Linked DNA regions of Arabidopsis thaliana. The protein of the gene in region 4 interacts with the protein of the main gene of each other region in a biochemical or structural test. Each region holds a gene or a part of one and is shown on either strand. Other genes may lie near its edges. The genes, in order: ATARCA, AGB1, FTA and GG1.

Region 1 (4,463 bases), on a different chromosome or scaffold from region 4:
TCTATGTTTTATCTTTCATAATAGATCTGATAATTTTGATTTTTCACTATATATATTATGGTTAATACTAGTAGCTTTTTCATTTCAAGTTTTATCCTTCCATTGGTTCTTTCTGAGTCAAATTGTCTCCTGTTTCGAACCATATATAAGTTTTCAATGGTTTTGTATTAACTCAAGTATTCAACATTATGTCTCTCTTTTTCTTGCTTGGATCTCTAATGCTGTTCATATTTTAAAGCATAGGTTTAGGTTAGATGCATGTAACTGCCAATTAAAAGAAGGTCAAGAGTTTTTTGATTGTATGAATATATGAGTTAGTCAAAGCAGATCCACACGATTATATAGAAAAACAAAGGAAGAAGAAGAGGAAGAGCTCCTTGAAGTTCAATGGAGGGTTTAGCAGGGTGAAGTAAAGCTGCTAAGCTATGGATCCCATAAGCCTTATCAAATTCAATATAATTGATGATAAGGTTTTTTTTATGGATGCCATATCTCAGGAGCTTTCACTTACCCCTTTAATGGCTTCACTCTTCTTTGGATTGAAGGGAGCTCTTCATCTCTCCATCCCTATCTCTCTCTCTCTCTATCTTTAGTTCTTTTAAGAATGACTTTTCATTTTTTGTGTTGTCTGTTGCAGGTGTATAAACATGGATGATGGATCTTGAGTAGGATTTTTTATTTTATTTTCTTGTGACATATATGCAATTTTTATGGTTTGTACTTTGTATTTCCATTAGTTTCGTACTTTTCAGTTATGTATCATTGTTAATTCTAATGTTTGAAGACATTTAGAGTTTATACTTCTCTAAATTACTTTTTCGACTCAATAAAGTCGTTTAAGTGTCTACAAGTATATACCGTGTTAATACTTTTCAATTCATATCCACCATTGTATAAAGATATGATCCGCTTTTATTTAAGTGAATCAATTAATTTACAGTATTCCTCTATATCTCTCTCACACTGTTCGAATAAATTTAATACTCAACAGATCTAGTTTGAACTTTTTAAATAAGTTTAGCCGAAGAAAATTATCATTGTTGAACAAACTTATTAAATTCGGATTGGCTTATTTGATGCATCCAGATTGCAAAACTATATTTTTGAATACAGCTGGAAATGTTTTTAAAGTGTAAAACAACGGTATATATATAAGTCAAACTGGTTTTTTTTGTAGATTTCTCTCCCTTTAGCAAGTTTTATTGCTTTCCTATAATCCATAATATTTACATCCAAAACAGCAATTATATAAGATTTTCTGCTATTTCAATACGATGTTATACTATTTCGGCAGATGTACGTACTACATTACATCTAACCAATCCAGATTGATAACTATATTTGATGTAATCTCGAATTAGTCAATCTCTGTACCACATATAAGAAATTTTGCTTTTTTCACAAAAGAGTTGTTAGAAATTTGACCTATACAAAAATAATGACCACGATAAATGAGTATATACATGTACGTAAGATAAATGTAAAGTTGTATATTTGTGCGCCATTCATGATTCATTCCACGTATATATTGTTTGTTCGAATCAAAGCAAACTCAGAAAATGAAAACGCTGAATGACGATAAAAATAGGGACGCTTTTGTTCGAATTAGCGTGCCCATTATGTCACGAACGTAGATTCAAGTCTTGGCCATAAAACAGGATTCCTTATAGCATCCACCAAAACACGAGAAATCATTCTCAAAAACAGTCTCTCCAAATCCGAACTAAACAACTCATAGCCCATATAATAAGGTCTGTAGTGGGATGCGTTTTTGGCTTTTAGAACATACCAATTGGAGAACACGCTTTCTTACACATGGAAACAAATTACGAACGCTTCCACCAAATATGGGCTGAGATAAGCCCATTAACATAAGACCCAGTAATAAATATATAATATGAGCCCATATTAAATGAACCCTAATCCATTTTTAGTTTCTATCATATAAATAGCTTCTTGTGTTTTTCACGCCCTTCTTCTTTGTATTTCCGCCTCCCCCGAGAAAACGAAAACCCTAGTTTCAGAGGCATCTCCAGACACCGAAAATGGCGGAAGGACTCGTTTTGAAGGGCACCATGCGTGCACACACTGACATGGTGACGGCAATCGCCACCCCAATCGATAACGCAGACATCATCGTCTCAGCTTCCCGCGACAAATCCATCATTTTGTGGAAACTCACCAAGGACGACAAAGCCTACGGTGTAGCTCAGAGGCGTCTCACTGGTCACTCTCACTTCGTTGAGGATGTTGTTCTCTCCTCCGATGGACAATTCGCGCTTTCCGGCAGCTGGGACGGCGAGCTCCGTCTTTGGGATCTTGCTGCTGGTGTCTCCACTCGTAGATTCGTTGGACACACCAAGGACGTGCTCTCCGTCGCCTTCTCACTCGACAACCGTCAGATCGTCTCTGCATCTCGTGACCGTACGATCAAGCTGTGGAACACTCTTGGTGAGTGCAAGTACACCATTTCAGAAGGTGGTGAGGGACACCGTGATTGGGTTAGCTGCGTCAGATTCAGCCCTAACACGCTTCAGCCGACGATTGTATCTGCTTCGTGGGACAAGACCGTGAAAGTGTGGAACCTTTCGAACTGCAAGCTCAGATCGACTCTTGCTGGTCACACCGGTTACGTGAGCACTGTGGCTGTATCACCTGATGGTTCTCTTTGTGCAAGTGGAGGCAAAGACGGTGTTGTTTTGCTGTGGGATTTGGCTGAGGGGAAGAAGCTTTACTCTCTTGAAGCTAACTCTGTGATCCATGCTCTTTGCTTCAGTCCCAACAGGTACTGGCTCTGTGCTGCAACTGAACATGGTATTAAGATTTGGGACCTTGAGAGCAAGAGCATTGTTGAGGATTTGAAGGTTGATCTCAAGGCTGAGGCTGAAAAGGCTGACAACAGTGGTCCTGCTGCCACCAAGAGGAAGGTACACAAATATTTTCCCATGATGGTTCAATCATATGCTTTTAATCGATTACAAGTTTTCAGCTTTTGTATAGGAAGAATTTTCTGTAGTTGGTTATGATGTTGATTATGACTTGTGATTAAGTATTACCCATAGCTGAGTATATCATAATTCGTAATGTTGGTCTGTTATTGAAAATGTGAAAGTTCGTAAAAAGTTTCTTACATGGATTATTCTATTCAAATGCTACACGATGATATATGTAAATGGTCTTCTACACTTGGTTTCAGTTTCAGATTCTGCAATTATGTTTGCTTGAATTACCATTCCGTTTGGAGACTTAGGCTCTCTATCTTCTTTATCTGTTTTAATCTTCCATATATAGCAATTACCATAATTGTGTTTTCGCCCCAGTTTGAGCCTAAATTGTCAATTAAGGTTGTCTTTTAATGGTTTTGTGTGTCCATACTCATTGATTACCTGACATTTCTTGTTAGGATCATAGTAGTAGTAATATTTTTCTCCTGATACATAGCCCTTTGTTTGTTGTGTAATAGTACATGTAAATAACCATGGAAAGTGACTGAATTCAATTTGTTTGTTGATTGGGTCAGGTTATTTACTGCACAAGCCTTAACTGGAGCGCTGATGGAAGCACCCTCTTCAGTGGTTACACCGATGGAGTCATTAGAGTTTGGGGTATTGGTCGTTACTAGTAATCTCATCACTTGTGCTGTCGTTGCTCTCTGCTATCTGCTTGTTGGTTTTATCTATCACTTATGTTTTTATCGACAACTCATGAAGTACCTTGAGGTTTTTGGAAGGATGTTTGTTTTCTTGTCAATCTAGGTTTTTGCTTCTTTATCTTATCGTTCGAGATCTTGGTTTTTAGAGTTACTTCTCCCATTTTGTGGCAAATGATTCCCATTAATAATATAGCGAAATGGTGGAATAGCGGAATTCTCTAAAATTTGTAACTTTATCCAATATGACAGATGAACCAAATGATTTTTAACATGTAATAAACTACTGATTTGCAACGAACTAAGAAGGTTATAGACATGAACATACTATCTTTGGAAATGGACATGAACTGCCGCTATTACTGCTGCTTCCTTCGACCAACGAAATTTCGCCACATAGACTGGTAAAGTCGAACAGCCGCTATTACTGCTGATGTGGCATCTGTCGTATTTTAATCACTCCCGCCATTGCCTTTTCGCGCTAAGTTTTTTTTTTTACTTATGCTTTTTTACTCTAGACTGGAAAAACAAAACAAAAAAGGCTATAAAAAGAAAAATAAAGAAGACAAATTCGCAAGAACCCTAAAAAGAAGAAGATAAGAAATCGGAAATGGGCATCAAGGACCTTCTCAGATTCATGAAACCTTATATCCTTCCCATTCACATCCAGAAATACGCCGGGAAACGAGTAATTTTCTCCGACTTGTTTTCTTAATGTTCTCCATTTCCTTCTCGATTTTAGTTTCCGTTAATCGTTCTGGGTAAATCTCCATTAAAAATCAAGTTTTTAAATGATGGGCTTACACATTTTTGT
Region 2 (4,958 bases), on a different chromosome or scaffold from region 4:
TGATCAATTCTCTTCTACTATGTTTTATTGTAGCTAGGCCTTGTAAATGCTTTAATTGACCAAATAATCGGTTTTCTACATGCTTTATTATACTAATTGGGTTTCTTAATTATCTTGAATCTGAATTTGATAGGTTACAACAATTGCGTATATCCGGGAGGAGGAGGAGGAGGAGGAGGAGGAGGAGGAGGAAGTAAAGCAGTAATGAACAAGTATGTGAGCTCAGACAAAGTAGAGAAGAAGAATGGAGCAACTGAACCAAAAGTCTCTTCTTCTCTATCTTTTCTACTCATCTTTTTGTCCCTTATCTTCCATGTATATATGTAAATGGCTCAATTAGCTCTTGGAGGTAAGTAATTAATTAATTACGCCTACTTGTTAATCTCCTCTCCTTCCTCTGTATTAAGTGTAATCGAGTTTGTTATTAGTTTATAATGGTTACACACATTCTATCTCAATTGTATTATATAGTCTGTAACGGCTATATCTACTAGACTTCTTTTGGTTTCTTATAAATGAATCTGAATATTATCTTTGGATAAAGTTTCCTATATTCCAATGTATATCTATATCCCTCTTAAATTGTTACATTTTACGCCGTACCTTTATAATTGGGCCTATTGTAAATTTAAACCGGTTTAGCTGGTTCACTTTACTGAATTTACATTTTCTGAAAATAAGGATTTGAGCCGAACCTACAACAAAAAAATGAAAATTTGACCCGGTTTATTTTGGTTTACTCATCTGAAATTACCTTTTATGAAAAGGAGTCGACAAATAATTTACTTATTTTCTTCGGTTAAGGAAAATAACTATTTCCTTCTTAAAAAAGGAATGGTTGATCTCACCGACTCTAGCTAGGGCTTATAAATACAAAGACGCATAGGGTTTCACAACTTCATCACCTTAACACAATTTGTTCGCTCTCTAAATTCTTAAATCTTTCATCAAATTTGCTTCACAGTGAAAAACCTCCTCCACAAGGAACACACAATGTCTTCGAAGATGATCGTGTTGATGAGCTCCGATGGTCAGTCGTTTGAGGTGGAAGAAGCGGTAGCAATCCAATCGCAGACCATAGCGCATATGGTTGAAGACGATTGCGTTGCTGATGGAATCCCTCTTGCAAACGTGGAAAGCAAGATTCTTGTGAAAGTGATCGAGTACTGCAAGAAATACCACGTCGACGAGGCTAATCCTATCTCTGAAGAGGATCTCAACAAGTGGGACGAGAAGTTCATGGATCTCGAACAATCCACCATCTTTGAACTCATCCTTGCTGCGAATTACCTCAACATAAAAAGCTTGTTTGATCTCACATGCCAAACTGTTGCGGACATGATCAAAGGCAAGACTCCAGAGGAGATTCGTTCAACTTTCAACATTGAGAATGATTTTACACCTGAGGAAGAAGAAGCTGTTCGTAAGGAGAATCAATGGGCTTTTGAATGAGCCCATGAATCAAAAACCTAACTAGCTTTCTTTTTCTTTTTTCCTTTTAGTGTTCTTTTTTTTTTTTGCAACTTCTTGATCAATAATGTAGATGATGATCACTTCGTCTACTTTTTAAAATTTTTTTTTTTGATTTGTATTCTCTTGAGATAATCTTTTGTTGGATATTGATATGCTTAACCAATGTGTTTTTATTTTATTTTCTCTTGAGACAATCTTAATTTTATTGGATTATTGATGTTCTTGTAGCCAATTCAGAAAAACAGAATCTATTAGACAAATTAAATTCACGTAGCAAAATAACTAACATGTTTTCTCTTTTCTTGTACTGTAAATTACGTTTCTTAAAAAGAAATATGTAGTTAAAAATCCTTCAAATTCATTATATTGAATCGAAAATCTCGTCCAAAACCAAAAACAATCATAGCTCTTAAACGATATCGTTTAATCATTGTGAGAGGGTCCACTTTAATGGGAACAGTCAATGTCTATTGACCCTCTTCTCTCTCTCTAGCTAGTCTCAGGTCAGAGAAGCCATCATCAACATTCAACAAGAGAGCCGTGTTTGTGTCTTGACTGATTCTTCTCTCAAGCTTTTTTAATCTCTCTCTCTTTTCCCACGTAATTCCCCCAAATCCATTCTTTCTAGGGTTCGATCTCCCTCTCTCAATCATGAACCTTCTTCTCTTCTAGACCCCACAAAGTTTCCCCCTTTTATTTGATCGGCGACGGAGAAGCCTAAGTCTGATCCCGGAATGTCTGTCTCCGAGCTCAAAGAACGCCACGCCGTCGCTACGGAGACCGTTAATAACCTCCGTGACCAGCTTAGACAGAGACGCCTCCAGCTCCTCGATACCGATGGTTTGTGGATTCCTTTTCGTCTCTCTTCTTCTCTCATCTTCTTCTTCTTTAATTTGGATTGAATTTTGCCAGTGGCGAGGTATTCAGCGGCGCAAGGACGTACTCGGGTGAGCTTCGGAGCAACGGATCTGGTTTGTTGTCGTACTCTTCAGGGACACACCGGAAAGGTGACTCAAAGTTTGCATCTTTATCCTTCAAGCATGCTTCTTTGTGGAGTGTTTTCTAGCCTGTGATAAAAAGCTTCCATTTTGGGGTTGTATCTAGTTTGTTATTTAGTTGGTGGTGTTTATAAGATGTTACCAGTTATCATGTATGAGGATTTGCTTAAGATCCTACGGAAATGTAGAGACAGGAGAGTTGATTGTGAATGTTAGCTTGTTGTTGATTTAACATGTGGGATTTGCAGGTTTATTCATTAGATTGGACACCGGAGAGGAACCGGATTGTCAGTGCATCTCAAGATGGGAGATTAATCGTGTGGAATGCTCTAACGAGTCAGAAAACTCATGCTATTAAACTCCCTTGTGCATGGGTTATGACATGTGCTTTCTCTCCAAATGGTCAGTCGGTTGCGTGTGGTGGATTAGACAGTGTATGTTCTATCTTTAGCCTTAGCTCAACGGCGGACAAGGATGGAACTGTACCGGTTTCAAGAATGCTCACTGGTCACAGGGGATATGTTTCGTGCTGTCAGTATGTCCCAAATGAGGATGCCCACCTTATCACCAGTTCAGGTGATCAAACTTGTATCTTATGGGATGTAACTACTGGTCTCAAAACTTCTGTTTTTGGCGGTGAATTTCAGTCTGGACATACTGCTGATGTACTAAGGTATGGATATTGCTTTCATCTCCTTGGCTCATTGGCATCAGTTTGTTTGATAAAGTAGAATATATTTGAAAAACTACTTAATCTTCCAGAACCATACCATTTGGATCGAGTGTTGGAATCAACATATAGGTTTGGTCTTATTGAATAGATACGTTTATTTGACTTGTGTATAAAAGCTAGCATGGATGATATATTGCAAGTCAGTTAAACTCGCCCTCTTACTTGGTGATTATTCCCCATTCTTGCAGCGTCTCAATCAGTGGATCAAACCCAAACTGGTTTATATCTGGTTCATGCGATTCCACAGCACGGTTGTGGGACACTCGTGCTGCAAGCCGAGCAGTGCGTACCTTTCATGGTCACGAGGGAGATGTTAATACGGTCAAGTTCTTTCCGGATGGGTATAGATTTGGGACTGGATCAGACGATGGAACATGCAGGCTGTATGACATAAGGACTGGTCACCAACTCCAGGTCTATCAGCCACATGGTGATGGTGAGAACGGACCTGTCACCTCCATTGCATTCTCTGTGTCAGGGAGACTTCTTTTCGCTGGCTATGCGAGCAACAACACTTGCTACGTTTGGGATACCCTCTTGGGAGAGGTAAGCAATTAGTATTTGAGTAATGAGTGGTGAGAGTTGTTTTCGCTCATGTAAGGTTTATGATTGAAACGTGAGGAGTTTTCTTGCAGGTTGTATTGGATTTGGGATTACAGCAGGATTCACACAGGAATAGAATAAGCTGTTTGGGGTTGTCAGCAGATGGAAGTGCCTTGTGTACAGGAAGTTGGGATTCAAATCTAAAGGTTAGTACTTAGTAGTGTCTCTGCTTATCATTTACCATGTTATGTTTGTAAGGAAATTAGAGGATAGATGAAATTTCGTTGAATTCACACAGATATGGGCGTTTGGAGGACACAGGAGAGTGATTTGAAGAAGATTTAACGAAAGTAGGAGTCACGTCTCCAGTTGTTGGTTAATATATTCTGTAGTCGGGAAGTAAGGTTCGGTTTGTGGAAGGTGTTTGGTTTGAAATAGTGGAGTGGTTAGAAGAATTAAACTTCCCTTTTTGTAGTGTGCTTTGATTTATTTATTTCTTCATTGGGAACTAAACTCCTTCAACACGCTACTCAATGTGAATTCTGTAATCAATTGTGTACCCACCAGTCTTTACTTTACTATCATCTCTTCATATTGAACGCAGACGATAAAACGCTACTATTTTTGAGTTTCTAACTTATGGAGAAAGCCTAGCCTGTTGTACGGTACGGTAGTGGTTTTCAAATCCGAGCAAGATGATCTGTAGATTCCCAACTTGGCGAGAAAACGGGTAATAATAAAATTCAGAAATGAGAAATCAAAAAGCACCGTCATAAAATAAAAAGAAAACCTCCATAGTGTATTTGACAGTAATAATGCAAGGAAAAAAGAAAGAAAGTAATACTATGCTATTTATAATAGTTGATGTATTTTTGAGGTTTAGCAGCAGGAATAGATGACATTCTCTGATACTGAAGAAACGCAAGAGGTTTTAGCCGCTGGCAACAATCTCGTGAATGGCCTCGGCGACAGAAACGTCTTCAGCTCTAACTGTCAGCTTCATTGCAATGTCCTTTGAGCTGTCCATTCCAAACTGTGCCCTCACTAACACTTTCACGTTGCCTATGTACACACCTGACAATAGACACGTGTGTGACCTTGCATTGAGCGGAATTGTCTCCGTCCCCTGTTATTTATCCAGTGTCAGTTTCAATTTCAGGAACACAACAAATGGTCATATACTCAAAAAAGACTTTATCAACAATAATTTT
Region 3 (3,974 bases), 1.5 Mb from region 4:
TCGAAGGAAAATATAGTGTATGTGATGCTTTGGTGTATGAAGAGATTTGATCAAGATGAGAGGTATTTATAGTAGAAGCAAACCGTTTACAATAATGTTTTTTCAAACTAAATATCTATTAAGATAAAATTATTAGTTTTTTGAAAGAACCATGATGATGATTATTGCACATGAACGAACCTTTTTTTTGCTTATATATAAAAGCAATTGTACTATTTTACACCTCATGCCCACATAGTATGGGGTGACTGGAGAGGGCTTTAGAGGGTAGCTGTTACTTTATATAAGCTGTAAAGTCTTATACTGTGATTTTTATTTTTTAAAAAATAAAGCTATGACTTAAAAAAAAATATAGTTTTACGAATTTTTACTTTAAAATAAGTTGTAAAGTTATATACATACTGTAAATTTTATTTTAGGAATTTTTTCATATTTTTAAAAAGTACAAAATAAAATATTGTTTTTGTTATTCCTCAGCTCTTGTGAAAAATCATTACTTAATCTTCATTAATCGATTGTTTAGGTCTTATTAATCATGTGTTGAGTTGGGACCATGATTAAGCAATAAGAGTCATTTACCTCCTGTCAAGTATGCATATGCATATACTTTTGGTTGTTGAATATTGTTGGTTGCAAGCAGTACAATCGGGAGAGAAAGGATCGAAAGATCGACAAAGGTGTTGCTAAAGCTGAGGGTGCTGATTAATCAAGGATTAATCAATACGATATCTGAAGCTAAAACTAGAACACCAAAATGTTGATTCATGATCTTAACTCCTAAACATTTCCTTGGTTAATGAAAGAGTTCGTTCATCTTTCAAACCATTGACAATAATAGCAGCTGTCACCTCTTCTTCACCATTACGGGCTTCTTCTTGATGTAATGGTGAATAGTAAGGCCTCTATGCTGTTATACAATGCTTTAAGTACAAGGATTTAAAAAATATTTACAAGCCTTTTTTTAAGAGTTTTAAAAGGATTTACAATGATTTTAAAGGATTTTAAAACTTTTATAATTCCTTTTAAAGTCATTTGAAAACTTTTGTAAATGCTTTCAAAACTCTCAAAAAATTTTTTTTTTTTTTTTTAAACTCTTAAAATTATCCTTGTTGTATATATTATTTAAAGCCTTTTAAACCCTTAAAATATATTTTACAATGGTTTTAAATGATTTATAAGGATTCTAAAATATTGAAAAAATGTTTTAAAAAGGATTTTAAAGTATTTACATGTATATTTAAAAACTTTATAAGGATTTTAATAAGTTTTAAAATGGTTTACAAGAGTTTTTAACAATTTTACAAAGCTTTAAAAAACTTTACTAGGATTTTCTAAGAATTTTTAAAGGATTTACAATGGTTTTTTAAGGGTTCTAAACAAAATTAGAAAGACTTTAAATGCAATTTTTTGGCGGGAAAAAACAGAGAAAATAAAATTTTGGCACTTAAAATTTAGGTGGGTAAGTTTTGGTTTCTAACTACATGTTCTCATTAGATTTGATGATGATTAATTTAGTCATTTTGGTTAAGAAAGTGGTTATTTTTAAAAATGGGCCAAAAAAGGATATCATAGTAGAATTGTGGTTTGGGCTTAAAAGCCCATTACCCCTCCCCTAATTAGTTTTCAACTTTTCATGGAGTCTTCGGTTTTCGACTTTGGATCGGAGTCGGGGAACATGAATTTCGACGAGACCGTGCCACTGAGCCAACGATTGGAGTGGTCAGACGTGGTCCCATTGACTCAGGACGATGGTCCGAATCCAGTGGTGCCAATTGCCTACAAGGAAGAGTTCCGCGAGACTATGGATTACTTCCGTGCGATTTACTTTTCCGACGAGCGATCTCCTCGCGCACTACGACTCACGGAAGAAACCCTCCTCTTAAACTCCGGCAACTACACAGTAATCAATCTTATAATTCATATAATCAACAACTATCTGAACTCTTATGGTTTTGAAATTTGATGGATTTTAGTCTTTTATTGGTCCTTGTTGCTTCAATTTTTAGTCTTACCGATATTTTTGTTTACCTTTGAAGGTGTGGCATTTCAGGCGCCTAGTACTCGAGGCCCTTAATCACGACTTGTTTGAAGAACTCGAGTTCATCGAACGCATTGCTGAGGATAACTCTAAGAACTACCAACTGTGGTAAAGTTCATACCTTTTCACACCTTGTTTGATCTATGTGCTTTTGATCATGAAAGTCTATGAGTGAGTTATACTTTTGAAAATTGTCTGATGAATAATTTTGAATCAATAAATGTATATTCTACTTCTCCATAGATGAAAGTTTGTTCTTGTACACATTGTTAAGTTCATAGTGTCTCATATCTGCTGATTATACAACGTTAAAACCCTTGGTTGTTTGTTTTGAGTTTGATGGTCCATGCTTCTGCTCTATGTTTTCCTTTTCTCTAGGCATCATCGGCGATGGGTTGCAGAGAAACTGGGTCCTGATGTTGCAGGGAGAGAACTTGAATTTACCCGTAGAGTACTTTCACTTGATGCCAAACATTATCATGCTTGGTCACATAGGCAGGTTTGCGATCTCAAACCTTGTTAAAGCATTCACTTGGGGTATCATTGCATATCTTTTTGTTTGATAATATGGAAACAATCTGCAGTGGACACTACGGGCATTAGGAGGATGGGAAGATGAGCTCGATTACTGTCACGAGCTCCTTGAAGCTGACGTCTTTAACAATTCCGCCTGGAATCAGGTAACTTGATCGTTGATACACATACGAAATTCTGTATCTCTAATCTATCAATTGCCGATTCTGTCACCTATTTGTATAATCTCATTCCCTTAATCTGACAGAGGTATTATGTCATCACCCAATCTCCTTTGTTGGGAGGCCTAGAAGCCATGAGAGAATCTGAAGTAAGCTACACAATCAAAGCCATTTTAACCAATCCTGCAAACGAGAGCTCATGGCGATACCTAAAAGCTCTTTACAAAGACGACAAAGAATCCTGGATTAGTGATCCAAGTGTTTCCTCAGTCTGTTTGAATGTTCTATCCCGCACAGATTGCTTCCATGGATTCGCTCTGAGCACCCTTTTGGATCTTCTATGTGATGGACTGAGACCAACCAACGAGCATAAAGACTCAGTGAGAGCTCTAGCTAATGAAGAACCAGAGACTAACTTGGCCAATTTGGTGTGTACTATTCTTGGTCGTGTAGATCCTGTAAGAGCTAACTATTGGGCATGGAGGAAGAGCAAGATTACAGTGGCAGCAATTTGAATATGTGACGCCCCAAAATCACACTTGAAAAAGACTTGATTATTAGTTTTTACGTATGTACTGCTTATTTATGAATCACATGTTCATGTTAACATGTATCAAAACAATCTTGATTTCTCAGTTTCCTTCGCCTTGTGATATTCAGAGAAGCTTTCTCAAGAATGATTTTGCATCACACACTTTGACTAAACGCATTGCTCTCTCGATAACCGGAAGATCAAAACCGAAACCGGGTTTTGGTTTGGCTCGCGGATTTCCCCAATTCAATTTTAACGACAAAACTATACTAATTCATAAGATTAAAAAAAAAGTTTCTGAAGTGGTCGAAGTCGGAAGCGTGATTTGGTCGAAAGATTGGTTCTTTCTCCGACAAGAATTATGTCCAAATCTGGGTTTAGTCTGCTGTTCCTCGTTCTTCTACTTATCATGGGTTTCTTATTTCCGTTGAGAGTTTCTGCAATTAGGTGATTAATTTTGGGTAACAACCATTGCTTCTATGAATTGTCCCGCTTAGTTTCATTTCCTTGAGATTTTCGAATGAATTTGCAGGAAGGATATCGGATTTTTGGAAGAGCGGAGTTGCAGAACAACTGTCCAAGGAAGATACTTGATCTCCGATGATGAAGGTTAGCGATTTCCACTCTTGGAAAGATTCACCTTTTTGAACATTTTGAATCTCTTTCGACTTAGATTTGGTGATCCATGAATGGTTTGTTGTTGCAACTT
Region 4 (4,258 bases):
GAAGCAGGAGCCAGAGTCCGAGGCATCGTAGCCGTAGCCAGAGCCCTAGAAAGAGGCAGCCAATTAGCCAAGACCTGAAATCCCGTCTCGGGCCACAGAGATCCCCCATCAGAGGAGGACGCACCTCTCCTGCAGAATCACTCAGCCCTTCTCACTCACCTTCTCCACCAGGAAAGAGAGGTCTGGTTAGCTATGCGGATTGATGGTCACTCTCATCCATTGGTTTCTCTGCTGACTTGCGAGTTTTTGTTTTAATTTCCGTGTTTTAGTGCAAGCAATAATAGGTAATGATATTTTTTATGTTGGTCGGATATATAATACTCTACCTTAGTTGCATTATTACAGATCGTGGAACATTGATCAAATTGAGACTGATATATGTTGGCAGAATTGAGTTTGGGAATCGAAGTTTGTAGAAAATTTATCGAACAAGTAGCATAGATATCTCAACATGAAAATCTAGTAATACATGTAAAGAAAGAAGGTTAATGATATTCCGCATGTTCATAGATAGGACTCGAATCTTTCTTTACCACAAGAGGGGTTTACAATGATACAATGATCATGTCCTAGAAGAGAAGGATCAGATGGGTTGGTCTTTGGGAACGATCTGATCCTTGATCCACATGTAGATAGGGATTAACACAAACCAGGCAGCTGCTAGAGTTCCCAGGAGGAAGCGTCCCAAGAAGGAGAAGGGGTTGTTGACAGGCTTCTCTACGTCCTCTTCCTTTGGACCAAGCTGCAGCATTTGAGTGATAAGTTTAGTGTATCAAAGAGAGAAGAAAGTAAAAAAGGTGAAGTGGGAGGTAAAAGACCTGGAGAGGAGAGTCACCGGAGGCAGGTTTAACACCAGTGACAGAACATCCCATGATAAGGCCGTGCCTGCGAACACCACGGTACCACTTGGGGCCAATCCTCTTGAGCTGAACGTCCTTGAAACCGGCATTCTTGAACCACTCAATGTACTCTTCCTCCTTGGGGAAGAGCATCCAGACATCAGAAAAGAAGCGAGAGAGCCAGAAGGTTGGGTAGACAGGGCCGATGAGACACGCTTTGCCACCGATCTTGAGAACCCTGTACGCTTCCCTTATTCCCCTCTGCGGGTCCGGCCAGTACTCAATGCTGTGTGATGATGAGACACACAATCAAACCCACCGGAAAGAAGACGATTATAAGAAGAAGAAGAAGAAGAAGAAGAAGAAGAAGAAAAGGATACCTTCCAGCAGAAACGTATCTGTCAGCATAATCGGTTGGAAAAGGAAGATCCTCAGCATCTCCCTCGACGATCTTGCATTCTTTCAACGGCTCCTTTTGCTTTGCTTTGGCCAGCTGATGTGGCGACTGGTCCAGAATGGTCACATTCTTGGCCTTCACTGTCTTGACTATGCCCAGAGTAGTGAAACCAGTTCCGCCGCCGACATCGACCACTCGCATGTCCGGATGGCTGAGATCCGCTGGCTCAAGAGCGTCGTCTCTCATATCCTCGGTCCAATGCCCAGGATTGATGACATGGTCGTATACGATGGATAAGAACCTGTAGAACCAGTAAGCCTCCTTCTTGTGCTGAATGAACCTAGGTTGCGCCGATGGCCGGGAAGACGACACGCTGCTGCTGCTGCATCTAGTAGCCACCGAGAGTCTAGGTGTGGAGGTTCGGGTAACTGAGAGTAAGGTCGGCCGAGGAATCGATCTGGCATGCAAATTGGAACCAGGGGAACCTAAACCTTTGGGGAAGGTAATGGCCCCGTTGAGCATCAAAGAGGCCATCGATGACAGATCCACCAAGTTGAGAAGAGGGAAGAAGAAGCTTATCTATCACCAATTCTCCGCCAATCAAAAACACAAACGAGAATGAGAGTGTGACTAAACCCTCTAACTCTAACAGAGTCAGTACTGACTCCAACCACATGTTTATGTACGGTCACGTTGTTTGTTGCGACAACACATATCCCTTTGTTGAGCCCATGGGCTCATTTGCAAGAATTGGCCCAAATAATAGTATTGGGCGTTTTGGCATTTTTCTGCAAATGGAAGGGAAAAGTCGATTTGAGTCAGAGAGAGAGAGACTTCGACGACAATTCAAACTTGTACGGACTAAGACCAGACTCTCTCTGACGTTGTCAGATCTGCGACCTGCTAGCGAGAGGATGCGAGAGGAAACTGTGGTTTACGAGCAGGAGGAGTCTGTTTCTCACGGCGGGGGCAAGCACAGGATCCTTGCAGAGCTTGCCCGCGTTGAACAGGAAGTCGCTTTCTTGGAGGTAGCTAAACTAACTCGTATCTCTTTCAAATTCCGACGTAGGTCTCTCGTGGATAGCTCAATTATCCTTTTTAGATCAATTGTTACAACAATTAGGTAAAGGTCGCTAAGATTGTTTCCTGTGAAAGCAAAAACCAGTATGGCAGATCTGTTCCAATCAGAAGAGCATGGTAGTTCTCTTGACAATAAGTGGCACCATTTCAGTCAGTCTTGTTTATGACTCTATGAATTGTATTCCCAAAATCTAAATCTGCTGGGTTCTCTTTGGATCCACTATTGGAATGGTTCTCTGTTGATCTTATTCTTAGGGATGTGCAAGAATACTTTTGATCATAGTCCAATTAGTATCATTCTCTCTTGGTTATCATCTATCGAGGCATGTTAAAAGTTAACCTTCTCCCAAGTTTCTCTGTTGCACAGATAATGTGTTTGCCTATTGTTCCTACTAGTGAGCTCTAACACTTACTAAAAATAGCTTTACTCTCTCTTTCTGTTTCATGTACTATATCCAGAAAGAGTTGAAGGAGGTCGAGAACACAGATATTGTATCAACCGTGTGTGAGGAGTAAGTATGGGATACTCAACCTATGTTTTTTTTTAACGCTTGCAAGCAACTGTGTGCTAGCTCCTGTAGGTATATTATCTGGATTTGACTGAAACTTGTACGTTGATTGGTGATCAAATTGATATTCCCTTGGTTCGCAGGCTGCTATCTGTCATCGAGAAAGGACCCGATCCTCTGTTGCCACTGTGAGTGCTTTTTAAACCTTGAAACTCTAGTGTTGGTTTGGACTGAATAACTGATGGATGTTGTGGTGCTGGCAGAACCAATGGACCTTTGAACTTAGGATGGGACCGGTGGTTTGAAGGACCAAATGGAGGAGAAGGCTGCAGATGCTTAATACTTTGATTCGCTAGACAGAGTAATGTGTTACATATACTAGTTTCTTGCTAGGATATCATTTTACATGGGATCCAAAATGGGGCTGTAGCAGAGAAAAAGCGTACAGATTAATGAGCATTGGAATTGCATAGAACGGCTTAGTTGCACCTACGTAAACAGTATTATATGTATATGTAATGTATGGGATCCGGATCTGACATACGAGTAATGGAGTTTCAGGCTTACAGCTTCTCATCTTCTTATTCTAGATCTTGTTGAAAGAAGCTGAAATGTGCATAGTGATATTTGGGGGCTAATAGAGTAATAGCTAATGAGGAAGTGGGTACAATCTTGAAGACCGTTAAGTGTGTCTCTCTTTTTTCTTTTTAGATAACTTTTGGCCACATCCACCCTCCATGATACACACACGCTAGTTTCGAGGATCAGAATACATACATACCTATGTTTATTATATAGATAGAACGATAATGGAACACAGAGCACATGCCTCATCTGTTGTCTTTTTATTATTACTTATTACTCTTCTCCTCCACTTCTGTATTATTACAGTCTGTTAAAGTAGAACCCCCTTTTGTTTTTTTCTTTCTATGTCTCAAAAATTAAAACAAGTTATGAGGTTTAAAAAAAAAATTGAGAAATGTAGAGGGTATTAGTAGAAGTGATTTACGGTAAGTTTATTCGACAGCTAAAAAGATAGTTTATGCATTCCAAAATATTCCTCAAATTTGTGATGAGTAAACAAATACTGGTAAGGTGGGTTTTCTGACAACCTTTGGATATACAGTAGTATGTCATCTGTTTTCATTGCCTCATTGGTCAAGATCAAAGTTGATGACCTCATTAGAGCTCCTTCTTCTCCCATAAATAAAAAAAAATTGATCAAAGTTTGTAGTATGAATTTGTTATATAAACAGAAGAGAAATTAACACAGAGATGTGAGTTGGTCCAAAAGAAAAATGATTGAGCAGCCGGAAGAAGCACGTTACAACATCTGCAGCATATCTGGTCAGAGAGAGTACAGAAATATTGGGGATTCAAACAATTCACCTCGTGATGAAACCTGAACATTGAAACATGCATTATAGCCTCAC

The links.
Region 1: the proteins of GG1 (region 4) and ATARCA form a complex in vitro, tested with the Arabidopsis thaliana proteins (one study listed by BioGRID).
Region 2: the proteins of GG1 (region 4) and AGB1 form a complex in vitro, tested with the Arabidopsis thaliana proteins (one study listed by BioGRID).
Region 3: of the proteins of GG1 (region 4) and FTA, one has a biochemical effect on the other in vitro, tested with the Arabidopsis thaliana proteins (one study listed by BioGRID).

The regions. Positions count from the first base shown.
Region 1 is NC_003070.9:6,220,280-6,224,742, forward strand, and holds ATARCA (Transducin/WD40 repeat-like superfamily protein), read left to right. Parts: upstream 1-1,921; 5' UTR 1,922-2,045; coding exon 2,046-2,927; intron 2,928-3,520; coding exon 3,521-3,622; 3' UTR 3,623-3,963; downstream 3,964-4,463. Other genes in the region: AT1G18090 (5'-3' exonuclease family protein), read left to right, coding at 4,260-4,337. UniProt on the Arabidopsis thaliana protein: Major component of the RACK1 regulatory proteins that play a role in multiple signal transduction pathways. Involved in multiple hormone responses and developmental processes.
Region 2 is NC_003075.7:16,476,516-16,481,473, reverse strand, and holds AGB1 (GTP binding protein beta 1), read left to right. Parts: upstream 1-1,853; 5' UTR 1,854-2,207; coding exon 2,208-2,313; intron 2,314-2,385; coding exon 2,386-2,480; exon of another isoform or gene 2,481-2,704; coding exon of another isoform or gene 2,705-2,719; coding exon 2,720-3,144; intron 3,145-3,392; coding exon 3,393-3,750; intron 3,751-3,828; coding exon of another isoform or gene 3,829-3,839; coding exon 3,840-3,953; intron 3,954-4,045; coding exon 4,046-4,081; 3' UTR 4,082-4,443; downstream 4,444-4,958. Other genes in the region: AT4G34480 (O-Glycosyl hydrolases family 17 protein), read left to right, coding at 134-327; SK12 (SKP1-like 12), read left to right, coding at 994-1,452; AT4G34450 (coatomer gamma-2 subunit, putative / gamma-2 coat protein, putative / gamma-2 COP), read right to left, coding at 4,679-4,873. UniProt on the Arabidopsis thaliana protein: Guanine nucleotide-binding proteins (G proteins) are involved as a modulator or transducer in various transmembrane signaling systems.
Region 3 is NC_003074.8:21,942,534-21,946,507, forward strand, and holds FTA (farnesyltransferase A), read left to right. Parts: upstream 1-1,636; 5' UTR 1,637-1,675; coding exon 1,676-1,900; intron 1,901-2,036; coding exon 2,037-2,146; intron 2,147-2,416; coding exon 2,417-2,537; intron 2,538-2,622; coding exon 2,623-2,718; intron 2,719-2,819; coding exon 2,820-3,248; 3' UTR 3,249-3,474; downstream 3,475-3,974. Other genes in the region: AT3G59390 (glycosyltransferase family protein), read left to right, coding at 3,627-3,712, 3,798-3,874. UniProt on the Arabidopsis thaliana protein: Essential subunit of both the farnesyltransferase and the geranylgeranyltransferase complex.
Region 4 is NC_003074.8:23,415,233-23,419,490, forward strand, and holds GG1 (Ggamma-subunit 1), read left to right. Parts: upstream 1-2,016; 5' UTR 2,017-2,030; coding exon 2,031-2,264; intron 2,265-2,775; coding exon 2,776-2,828; intron 2,829-2,968; coding exon 2,969-3,013; intron 3,014-3,088; coding exon 3,089-3,173; 3' UTR 3,174-3,749; downstream 3,750-4,258. Other genes in the region: AT3G63400 (Cyclophilin-like peptidyl-prolyl cis-trans isomerase family protein), read left to right, coding at 1-203; APG1 (S-adenosyl-L-methionine-dependent methyltransferases superfamily protein), read right to left, coding at 584-742, 819-1,125, 1,220-1,770. UniProt on the Arabidopsis thaliana protein: Guanine nucleotide-binding proteins (G proteins) are involved as a modulator or transducer in various transmembrane signaling systems.